2 linked regions of the Caenorhabditis elegans genome follow. The protein of the gene in region 2 interacts with the protein of the main gene of each other region in a pairwise test. Each region holds a gene or a part of one and is shown on either strand. Other genes may lie near its edges. The genes, in order: ubc-13 and rike-1.

The links.
Region 1: the proteins of rike-1 (region 2) and ubc-13 interact in a two-hybrid assay, tested with the Caenorhabditis elegans proteins (2 studies listed by BioGRID).

Annotation. Positions count from the first base shown.
Region 1 is NC_003282.8:2,922,046-2,927,639, reverse strand, and holds ubc-13 (Ubiquitin-conjugating enzyme E2 13), read left to right. Parts: upstream 1-1,948; 5' UTR 1,949-1,949; coding exon 1,950-2,229; intron 2,230-3,268; coding exon 3,269-3,436; intron 3,437-4,609; coding exon 4,610-4,617; 3' UTR 4,618-5,049; downstream 5,050-5,594. Other genes in the region: fbxc-45 (F-box C protein), read left to right, coding at 5,411-5,478, 5,524-5,594.
Region 2 is NC_003283.11:14,543,216-14,548,119, reverse strand, and holds rike-1 (RING-type domain-containing protein), read left to right. Parts: upstream 1-2,298; coding exon 2,299-2,347; intron 2,348-2,390; coding exon 2,391-2,599; intron 2,600-2,639; coding exon 2,640-3,258; intron 3,259-3,411; coding exon 3,412-3,623; intron 3,624-3,714; coding exon 3,715-3,925; intron 3,926-3,970; coding exon 3,971-4,401; downstream 4,402-4,904. Other genes in the region: C53A5.13 (Fibronectin type-III domain-containing protein), read right to left, coding at 344-395, 719-837, 935-1,081, 1,128-1,179.

The sequences.
Region 1 (5,594 bases), on a different chromosome or scaffold from region 2:
GTTGAAATCTATTTTTTATTAATAATAATTTATTTATTGATTTCCCCCCCCCCCCTTAATTTTTTCGTGTTTCATCATCATCTTCCTCCCACTGGTCTGGTCAAATGAAGCTTTTTTCCCTGATTTTCCCTCAGTTTGCCAATTTTTCGGTTCTAATCCGGTTTTTAATAATTTATTTTACCTTTTTTCTAGGTTTTCCAGGAAATAAATCAGTTTAAAAATGTGATTTTCGAAGATTTACGGTCGAAAACTGGCATTTTTAGGCTGAAAATATCGATTTTCACCTTAAAAACCTCCAAAAACCAATTTTATCGATTTCGAAACGTTATTATTGATGGAAAATACGTAAAAATGGAAAATAATACCCATTTTCAGCTTTTTCAACGCCGAAAAATCAATTTTCGGCGATATTTTCTACTAAAATTACCGAAAAATGTGATTTTTCCGCAAAAATATGCGATTTCATAACAGTTTTCGTTGGGAAATGCACAGAAATCCAATTTTTCTAAAAATTTCGCAAAGGAATTGATTTTTTACTTAAATTACCGTTAAATTTATACATTTTTAGTATAAAAATTAAGATTTCGCGTGGATAACGAGAATTTACAGCGTTTTTTTGCTGAAAATATCGATTTTCTCGAATTTAGCGTTTTCAAAATGCTCAAAACGTCGAAAATTCAGTTTTTGGCATTATTTTTGATGGAAAATACGTCAAAAATGCCAATTTTCACTCTGAAATGCACATAAATCCTATTTTTTCGAAATTTCACTGTTGAATTGATTTTTTCACTCAAACTACCGGTGAATTTACATATTTTCAGATGAAAAACTGAAAGCTCCCGTAGAAAACGCGTCTTTTTCAACATTTTGGTGCTGAAAATATCGATTTTCCGCAAAAATAACGAATTCGTAATGCCAAAAACGTCAAAAATACACATTTTTGCGTTTATTTTTGATTAAAATTACTCCAAAATGTCAGTTTTCTGCAAAAATATGCGATTTCATCACTGTTTTCCATGGAAACTGCACAAAAATCCAATTTTGCCATTATTTTGCACCGAAATCGATTTTTTTCTCCAAAAAAATTATTCGAAATCGTGAAAAGCGAGCGTTTTTTAATGTTGGAAATCACAAAAAACCCAATTTTATCGATTTTTGGCCGACGTTTACGTTGAAAACTCGAGGAAAACAGTTTTTTAATTGAAAAATTCATAGTTTCCCGCAGAAAATTAGATATTTTAACTTTTTGTACTAAAAAAAATGGCATTTTTCCGATATTTCGAGAAAAACTTCGATTTTTAATTAAAAAACCTTGAATTATTAGTCTTTTTTCTTTTATTTCAGCCAAAATTTATACATTTATACATTTTTTTCTTCAGTTTTCACCATTTTGCACTCAAAAATCCGTCTAATTGTTGAATTTTTAACAGAAAAACAGTTTTTCGCTGGGAAAAGCTCTAAAATCACTCAAAAACCATCAAATTTATTCCACTTTTCCATGGAAACTGCACAAAAATCCAATTTTGCTATTATTTTGCACCAAAATCGATTTTTTTTTCCAAAAAAATTATTCCAAATCGCTAAAAACGAGCATTTTTTTGGTTGGAAATGCCAAAAACACAATTTTATCGATTTTTGGCCGATGTTTACGTTGAAAATTCGAGGAAAACAGTTTTTTAAAGTAAAAATTCATAGTTTCCCCTAGGAAATTAGATATTTTAACTTTTTTTTTGCGGAAAATGGCCCTTTTCCGATATTTCGAGAAAAAACTTTGATTTTTAATTAAAAAACCTTGAATTATTAGTCTTTTTTCTTTTATTTCAGCCAAAATTTATACATTTATATATATTTTTTTATTCAGTTTTCACCATTTTGCACTCAAAAATCCGTTTTTCTAATAGAAAAATCAGCTTAAAAGCCCCAAAACACACAATAAAATTTCTTGCAGAATGGCCGGGCAACTTCCGCGTCGAATCATCAAAGAGACACAACGACTTCTCGCGGATCCGGTTCCCGGAATATCGGCAAATCCAGACGAGAGCAACGCCAGATACTTCCATGTCATGATAGCCGGGCCAGACGATTCTCCATTTGCTGGTGGTGTCTTCAAGTTGGAGCTTTTCCTTCCGGAAGAGTATCCGATGGCTGCACCGAAAGTTCGATTCATGACAAAGATCTATCATCCGAATATTGATAAACTCGGCAGAATTTGTCTCGATATTCTCAAGGGTGAATAGATTTTCCCCTTTTTTTGAAAAATTAGTGAAAAAATTTTTTAAAAAACGGTTTTTAGCGTTTTAATCAATTATTTTTAGAGAATTTTCTGAATTTTCATCGAAATTTGCTATTTTTACACTGTTTTAACACAAATTTATTGATAAAATTCAGAAATCTAGCTTTTTTGGATATTTTTACTTGAAATTTTTCGAAAAACAGCCCATTTTCAACAATATTCACGAGTTTAGATGAATTTTTTGTATTTTTTAATATTTAAATCAAATTTAGCTCTTTTTGAGCGTATAAATCCGAATTTCATGCTCATTTTTCGCATAATGAGAAAATAATCCAAAAAATATGAATTTTTACGCATTTTAATGGGAAAAATGGATCAAAAACAGCTTATTTTGAGCGTTTTTTGACAAAATAGACGAAATTTCGAGAAAAATCGTGTTTTTTTTTGTTCTAATAAATATATTTAGGTGCATTCGAATGCGAATTTCTCGAAATTTAATTTTAAAAAACCCTCTTTTTGTGAAATTTTTTTCAAAGAAACTGCGAAAATGTATCATTTTTGCGCATTTTTAACCAAATTTCATCGAAAATCTCGGAAAACGGCGTTTTTTTGGCAATTTTTATTCAAAATTGCGAAAATTTCGGCGAACCCCCAGTTTTCGAGGGACATTTTCAATTTATGATCGAAATTAGCTATTTTTAATCATTCTAAAGCGAATTTCTTGTTAAAATTGCTGAAAAATCTGATTTTTTAGTAATTTCAATGGAGAGATAGTAAAATTCGATTTTTAATTACAAATTTCGTGTAATTTCTTCGAAAACTTCTTTATTTTTGCGCATTTTTTCCAATTTTTATCGAAAAATTACTCCAAAAGAAAGCATTTCGATAGATATATCTCATTTTTTGCGCATTTTAATCAAATTATCCATAGAAAAGTTCAATTTTTCGGCTATTTTAATGCGAATTATCTCGAAAAACTGCTCATTTTGAGCTTTTTCACATGAATTTCTCGAAAAAAAATGCCCAATTTTTCAGATAAATGGTCGCCGGCTCTTCAAATTCGCACGGTTCTTCTGTCGATTCAGGCTCTTCTTTCGGCTCCAAATCCGGAAGATCCACTGGCAACTGATGTCGCCGAGCAATGGAAAACGAATGAGGCCGAGGCGATTAAGACTGCAAAACAATGGACGATGAACTATGCTCGTCAGTAATATATCTAGGGTCTCGCCACGAAATCGATGAAAATTTGCAATTCTTTTGAAGCCAAAATCGAAAATTCGACCTCATGTCGATTTACGCCGATCGTGTACTCCCCGAGGAGAAGTTGGAATGATTTTTATACAGTTTTTGACCTTTTTAACATTAAAACTATCAAAAAATGGCTCGTAAATCCGATTTCCAGCCGAAAACTGCTTTTACGCCACTAAAAATATCGATTTTCACGGAAAACACTGTAATTTACGGCTAAATTTGCTATATTTAAGTAAAATTTCAGGAAAAGTCGACGAAAACGGCGAAAAACAATACTTTTAGCGCAATTATGGAGCCAAAATCGAAAAATCGAACTAAAAATCCCTGAAATTGGCGCATGTCGATTTACGTCAACTCGTGTACTCCCCGAGGAGAAGTGGGGGTGAAAAAAACGGGTTTTAAGGTGAAAATTATTGATTTTGGCCTATTTTTTCTAATTTGAACGTTTAAATCATCAATTTTTGCTCGGAATTATAGCTTTTTTGATAAATTTTTATTTTCGAATTTTTTTTAGTTTTTCAACCTTTAAAAAATCGAAAATAAAAATTTATCAGAAACACTATAATTTAGACCTAAATTGGTGATTTAAAGATTCAAATCAGGAAAAAATAGGCCAACATCAACAATTTTCGCCTCAAAATCCATGTGCTTCACCCCTCTTCTCCGCGGGGAGTACACGAGCTGCGTAAATCGACATGTGCCAATTTCGGAGGTTTCTAGTTCGATTTTTCGATTTTTGCTCCAAAATTGCGCTAAAATGATTGATTTTGGACCGTTTTCGCATCGACTTTTCCACAAATTTTACATAACTATAACAACTTTAGCGCTAAATTCCAGTTTTTCAGTGAAAATCGAAGTATTTAGTGTCTTAAAAGCAGTTTTCAGCTGGAAATTGAATTTATGAGCCATTTTTTTGGTAGTTTTAATGTTAAAAAACTGTATAAAAATCATTCCCACTTCTCCTCGAGGAGTACACGGGCTGCGTAAATCGACCCTTCGAATTTTCGATTTCGGCTCTGAAAACAGTAGATTTTCCTAGTTTTCGCTGTGGGACCCAACAATAAATATGCATTTTAATAAATTTTTTTTAACAATTTAAAAAATAAATTAATAATTTTTTTTCAGAAGCCTGATCGTCTCCGAAGCTCGCCTCTAGAACAACTACAAAAAATCACATCAAACAAAAAAAAATTCGAAATTCTCTCAGCCTGCTCTTTGTCCCGCCTTTTCCCGCCCCCTTACGAACTTCCAATAAATTGTATGAATTGCATAAAAATCTCGATTTTCCCCATCTTCTACTATATATCTAAATATTGATTTTTTTTGTCCCCGCCCGGTTTTTTGTCTCGAAATTCTACAATTTCCTCCCCATCCCATTGAATTTTTTAAAAAATTTTTTTGTCTCTGTTGTCTCACGATCCTCATCAAACCGTCGTCGTCCATTTAATTTAAATTCTTCTTTTTTTCTCCCAGTTTCCAGAAAATCTTCTTCCATCGAAATTGATTTTTTTTTCTCTTTTGGAAATTTTGATGATTTTTTGAATAAAGTCGTTATTTTTTTTGAGAATTTTTGAGAAATTTTTGAAGGCATTTCCAGCAGTAGCCTGATGGTTTTCAACCGGAAAAAATGCAAGAATAAATAGAAGAATAAATAGTAGATATTGTGATAGAAATTTTAAAAACTGGAAACTGCCTGAATCGCCGATTGCCGAAAGTGAGAAATGCCGAAAAAATGCACGCTGATATTACTGTAAATTTAAAGGGACACACAGTATCTTGTTGCATGGGTTTCATCGCGATGTGTTCAACTGTAGCTTTTTGATTTTTCTTTCGATTTTTCGAATTTTAACTGTGTTTTTTCATGTTTTTCTTGCGAAATTTGAAGCAATTACCGATAAAAAATTTTTAATTCAGATTTCTGCAAACATGGACTCGAAGCCACTCACCTATCTATCCATGCAGTGCATTATCAAACACTTGGAGGCGAATAAAAGGTGAGACAAACAGTTTCTGTAATTAACTAAATACATAATTCTCAGATTCCGACTGGCCGCACAATGCCCATCTCTTGTAAAGATCGAAAAATCGCAACCTCTGATTATCAAGAAGC
Region 2 (4,904 bases):
AGCATTTAAAAATTCTTCCTCAGGTTTTTTGTTGTTGTCTCTTCCTTCTTCCTCAGGTTTTTTATTGTTTCAATTTTTGATGGGTTTTTTGTCAAGTTTAAGGTTTTTCTAACTAATAGTTGTAACATCGTCAATCTGAATTTCGAAGCTTTTGTCGAAGAAAAAATAAATATTTCAGATCTCATATGAAATCAAATTTTGTGCAGTTTGACAGTTGTTAAAGAAACTGATAAGAATGTTCTAAACGTGGCGCTGTCTAAAAAATCGATCCTGATAGCAAGTTATACTTTGCTAGGTCATTTCTGAATTAAAAATAATATTTTTCAATTAAAAAGTTCAATACCTGCTAGACTTGTTGTTGCCATGTTGCTTGCGTACCAAAGACTTGTTTCATTCTGCAAACGTTTTCAGAAGCTTCATAATTTTCATAAATAATCAACAGCTATATTTTCAAAAATGGATAAAACTACAATTGTTATTTTCTCTAAATATTTGTACTGTGAGTGAGGATTTTCAACCTATATATTTACCTTTTCGTCAAAATAATAATTGTTTTCACAATATCGTCTCTTTAATACATTATATATTTATCAAATTTTTCAGATAGCATCTCTGCCCGAAAGGAGTGGTTCTTCATTTCCGAGGACCGCCACCGCAACAACGTCGGAACTACATAATTTGATATACTTGTTCACAAGAAAGCATTCATATAGGATACCTTGAAAGCTTCCACTGATAGACGGTAAGTTGTGTTTCCAGCTAATCCAATAAATGTGTAGTCGCGCAAAAATGCATCAACCAAAACTGTTTGAGATGATTTTTCCGTTTGTTGTGAACCTGAAATCGTAAAACTCAAATTGGTAAGATAACAATTATATTGTGAGCCTATCATATATTCTATATTCTGAATGTTCAAAATGGCCAGAGCTCGTACTTCTCATAACAGTTACAACTAATCGTTGTCTTGTCACAATTTCTTCATCGGAATCATGTTTCCATCGAATTCGAATTGCGTCATTTCTAACCTCAATTACATCGACACCATCACCTTCTCGATCTTCATCGATATCGTTTTCTCCTGCTAATAATTCGAAACTATTTATAGAACTACGAGCTTATTAACTTACAAACGAGTATTAAGTACGGAATAAAAATCAGAAAGTGTATGGGAAATCGCATTCGAATTAGATTGACGTTGTGAAAACAGAAAAATTAGATTGGATGAAGAGAAAAGGAGAAATCATCGTGTGTCAAAAAGGATAATATTGATAGAATTCTTTCTTGGTCTTTGAAAACGAGAGAAGAGAAAAATAACGAAAATTTGATATCGGTAGGAGAAAGGCATTTTATCGTGTCGCAATAAAAAAAACCTTGAATACAGTAATTCAAACCTGTCCTAATTTTTAGATATCTGTAAAACGAACTGGAAATAAATGAGAAATTCTGTGAAAGGTGGATATAAAATTGCAAATTTCCAACTTTGGCTAATTTCCCTGATCGAATTTTCTCTAAATTTAGAACTGCACAAAAAAGCGAAATTAGAATATGGTGAATGGTTTCAAAATGAGCGTGGCTTCTTCATTAGGTTCAAATAAGTATTAGAAAGAGTTGGGAAATTTTGATTTCAAGCAATTTTTTAAAATCTGAGAAATTTTATATGAGGAAACAGAACATTTCAAATAATGCTAAAACAGTTACTTAAAAGCAATGATTTTCATCATTTTTTAGGATATTCTATTTCCTTTTTTAACCGTGGCAATGTCCGTATGTTTCTCTCATTCTCTTTGTCGACGGATAAACGCGCCTTGCTCATTCTTATTTTATAATATCTTCTAGTTTTCTTCCGAATTTTCGCTGTTCATTGTTTTGTTCCTGTGTTTCAAAATAAAACTATTTCAATATTGCATGTTTTCGAAATTTCTCCAATCGTCAAAATTGAATCACTTTTAAATCTATCGAATTTCTTTCGGATTCGAAATCCAAATGGGTTTTGATAAATTAATGTCAAGCTTCGCGGCCTAGAATCCTTGCGTGTGCAAATGCGCCCTTTCGAAGTATCCGGATATATCCATAAATAATATTTATTTTCCGCCGAAAATTTTCCGGATAGAAATTTATTCGCGTGCCGCACACCACTCATCCGCGCGGAAAATATCTTATTCTTATTTTATTTTAGAAAATCCTTTTGCAAAATCGAATGCGCAAGTTTTCCCTAAAAATCGATAATTTCACACACATTGAACCTCTTTTCAGACAAGACGGGTCAACAGTTGGTTCAAACACAATAATTTTCAAGAAATGTCAATTGTGAATACAACAGAATGCATAATTTGTTATAATGAATATGGTGAGCACATTAATGAATTTCGAAAAAAACTTCTAAATTTCAGACACCGAACTCCGGAAACCTTGCATAGGCACATGCGGCCACTCCATATGTGAAAGTTGCAAACATCAAATGGTCTCATCAAAATGTCCACAGTGCAATCGAGAAGAAGCCTTCGCAATTACTACAATCAATTATCAAGTTTTAGAATTAATAAAGCACTTTAAAAGTATGCAAAGTGGGGGAGTAGCGCCACAGGCACAATCCACAAATGTAAGTATAATTTCCTTTTTCTATAAAAACCCAGAAAAAGTTTTTGCAGAGCTTAGACGAAGGAACATGCAGTGAGTGCACCCTACATTCCAAGAAATTACGAATTTGTAAAACGTGCGCCGTCGGAAAAGGAGTTCTGAAGCAAGCCGAAGGCAAAAAAGAATTAGTATTAGTTGTTGGAGATGATGGAGTCGATGAAGCAATGACACGAGCTAAGAAGATGGCGATTTGCGGTGATTGTGCTTTGGATGGGGCCCAACACGAAGGACATCAGACAATGCAGCTGGCTCTTTTGAAAAATAGTATCGAAGATCAAGCACCGACTAATCTCGGAAATAAAATCAGTAAAATCAGTGAGCTTTCGAAGCAGGTGTGCGATGATATCTCTGACAAATTTGCGGCGACAATTAAATCACTTCAAAATTACTTCGAAAAGCATGAAAAGTTGTCTCCGCCCGGAAGAAAGACTCACTTCAACAACATCGAAGCTGAAATGGAGAAAATAAGTGATACGATAGCTCTTGTCAAAGATGCTGGAACACGATTGGATTTTTTGAATAACGAAATCGAAGAGCACGATCGAATCGTTTTTCAAACTAAACAACCTGTTACTAAGGCAAATTTCGTTTTCGCTAGTCAGGATCCCGTATTGGTTGCAGGTAAAAGTTATATTTATGTTGTGCATTCTTGAACGAAAAAAGCTCATCGCGACGCTCGCGTGTCGTTCGTTGTTATCATGCTTTTGCATTTTATACAGACTCCTCCCGCGATTCCAGTCTAAAAAATCTCTCAAAATTATTCTTTTTTTCCAGATCGAAAGCAGAGTGCCCGTGAACCACTTTTGATTGGAGTCTACGATCCTAAAAACAGAGGATGGACGCCAGTTGGGCGAATGCCGAACCCAAAATCAAACTACGCTGTTGCCTGCAGCAAATCTCAAATTTATATAGTCGGAGGAATGAATAACGGATCATGGTTGAACAACGTTGAAATGTATGATCGGGAGAAAAACTTGCGAAGAGATGTGGGTTATTCTTTCAGCTTTTAAAAAATTCTCTAGAATTGTAAACTTTTAAAACAAATAATTTTTATTGATTTCAACAAAAATGTCAAAGTTATTACAGTGTAATAAAATGAAGCGTGGAAGAACACGAACGTCGGCGGGAATCCATAACAACAAAATGTACGTGGCCGGTGGATATGATAGCACTTATATGAATTCTGTGGAAGTTTATGATACTGATCAAGGAGAGTGGAAGGATGGACCATCGTTGCAAAGGCCTCGTGCCGATGCAGCGGTTGTTCCATGCAATGGAGAGGTTTATGGTATGATTTCGATTAATTAGTTGATTAAAAAAGGTTTAATTTCAGTGTTGGGAGGTTTCAATGGAAAAGAATATGAAGAGAAGATTGAGAAGCTGTCAGAACCTGGTCAAAAGTTCGAAATTGTGGGCGACATGCAAGGAAGTCGCGCCGGATTTGGATCGTGTGCCTTCAGAGGAAGAATCTACATTGCTGGTGGATGGAGTAACTCGAGTAATACGTTGAGATCAGTTCGAAGCTATGATCCATTGACGAAATCATGGAGAGATGAGCCATCGTTGAGCAAAGATCGAAAATATTTCACTCTTCACTCGACGAACGAAGCTATTTATGCTATTCGCGGATGTGCTGACAATTGGAGCTTAATCAATGAAGTCGAGCGATTTGATCCAGAAAAACGTGCATGGGAGATTATTAGTTGCTCCGGACCAATGGTTGGAGCCGGTTCATCTGCATCGAATGAGCAAGCTATTACATAAAATCGTGTATCTTATTTTCATAAAAACAGCTGTTGTATGAGCTGTACTCGTTGATTTTCGGTTTGGCGTTAACCTTTGAGACCAATCAGTTTACTGTTTTGGAGACCCGAAGAACTCGGGGGATGTCCAATTGGGGGGATTACCAACTCGGGGGATTGGCCCCGCCCACAGAACCGGGGCTTGCAATACGCCCATTTTTGCAACTGCCGCACGGTTTTGAAACTGTATTTTTCTTGTTAATTCTCGCTCTATTGAGAAAAATACAGTTTCGAAACCGTGCAGTTGCAGAAATGGGCGTATTGCCAGCCACGGTTCTGTGGGCGGGGCCAATCCCCCGAGTTGGTAATCCCCCCAATTGGACATCCCCCGAGTTCTTCGGGTCTTCTGTTTTGTGACTGATTACCAAAAATCCAACTTGCTCATTATTCATATCTAGCTGAAACCTAGTACTATTAAACGTATTATTTAAATTTTAGGATCTTTCCATTTTTCTGTCTCTCTGT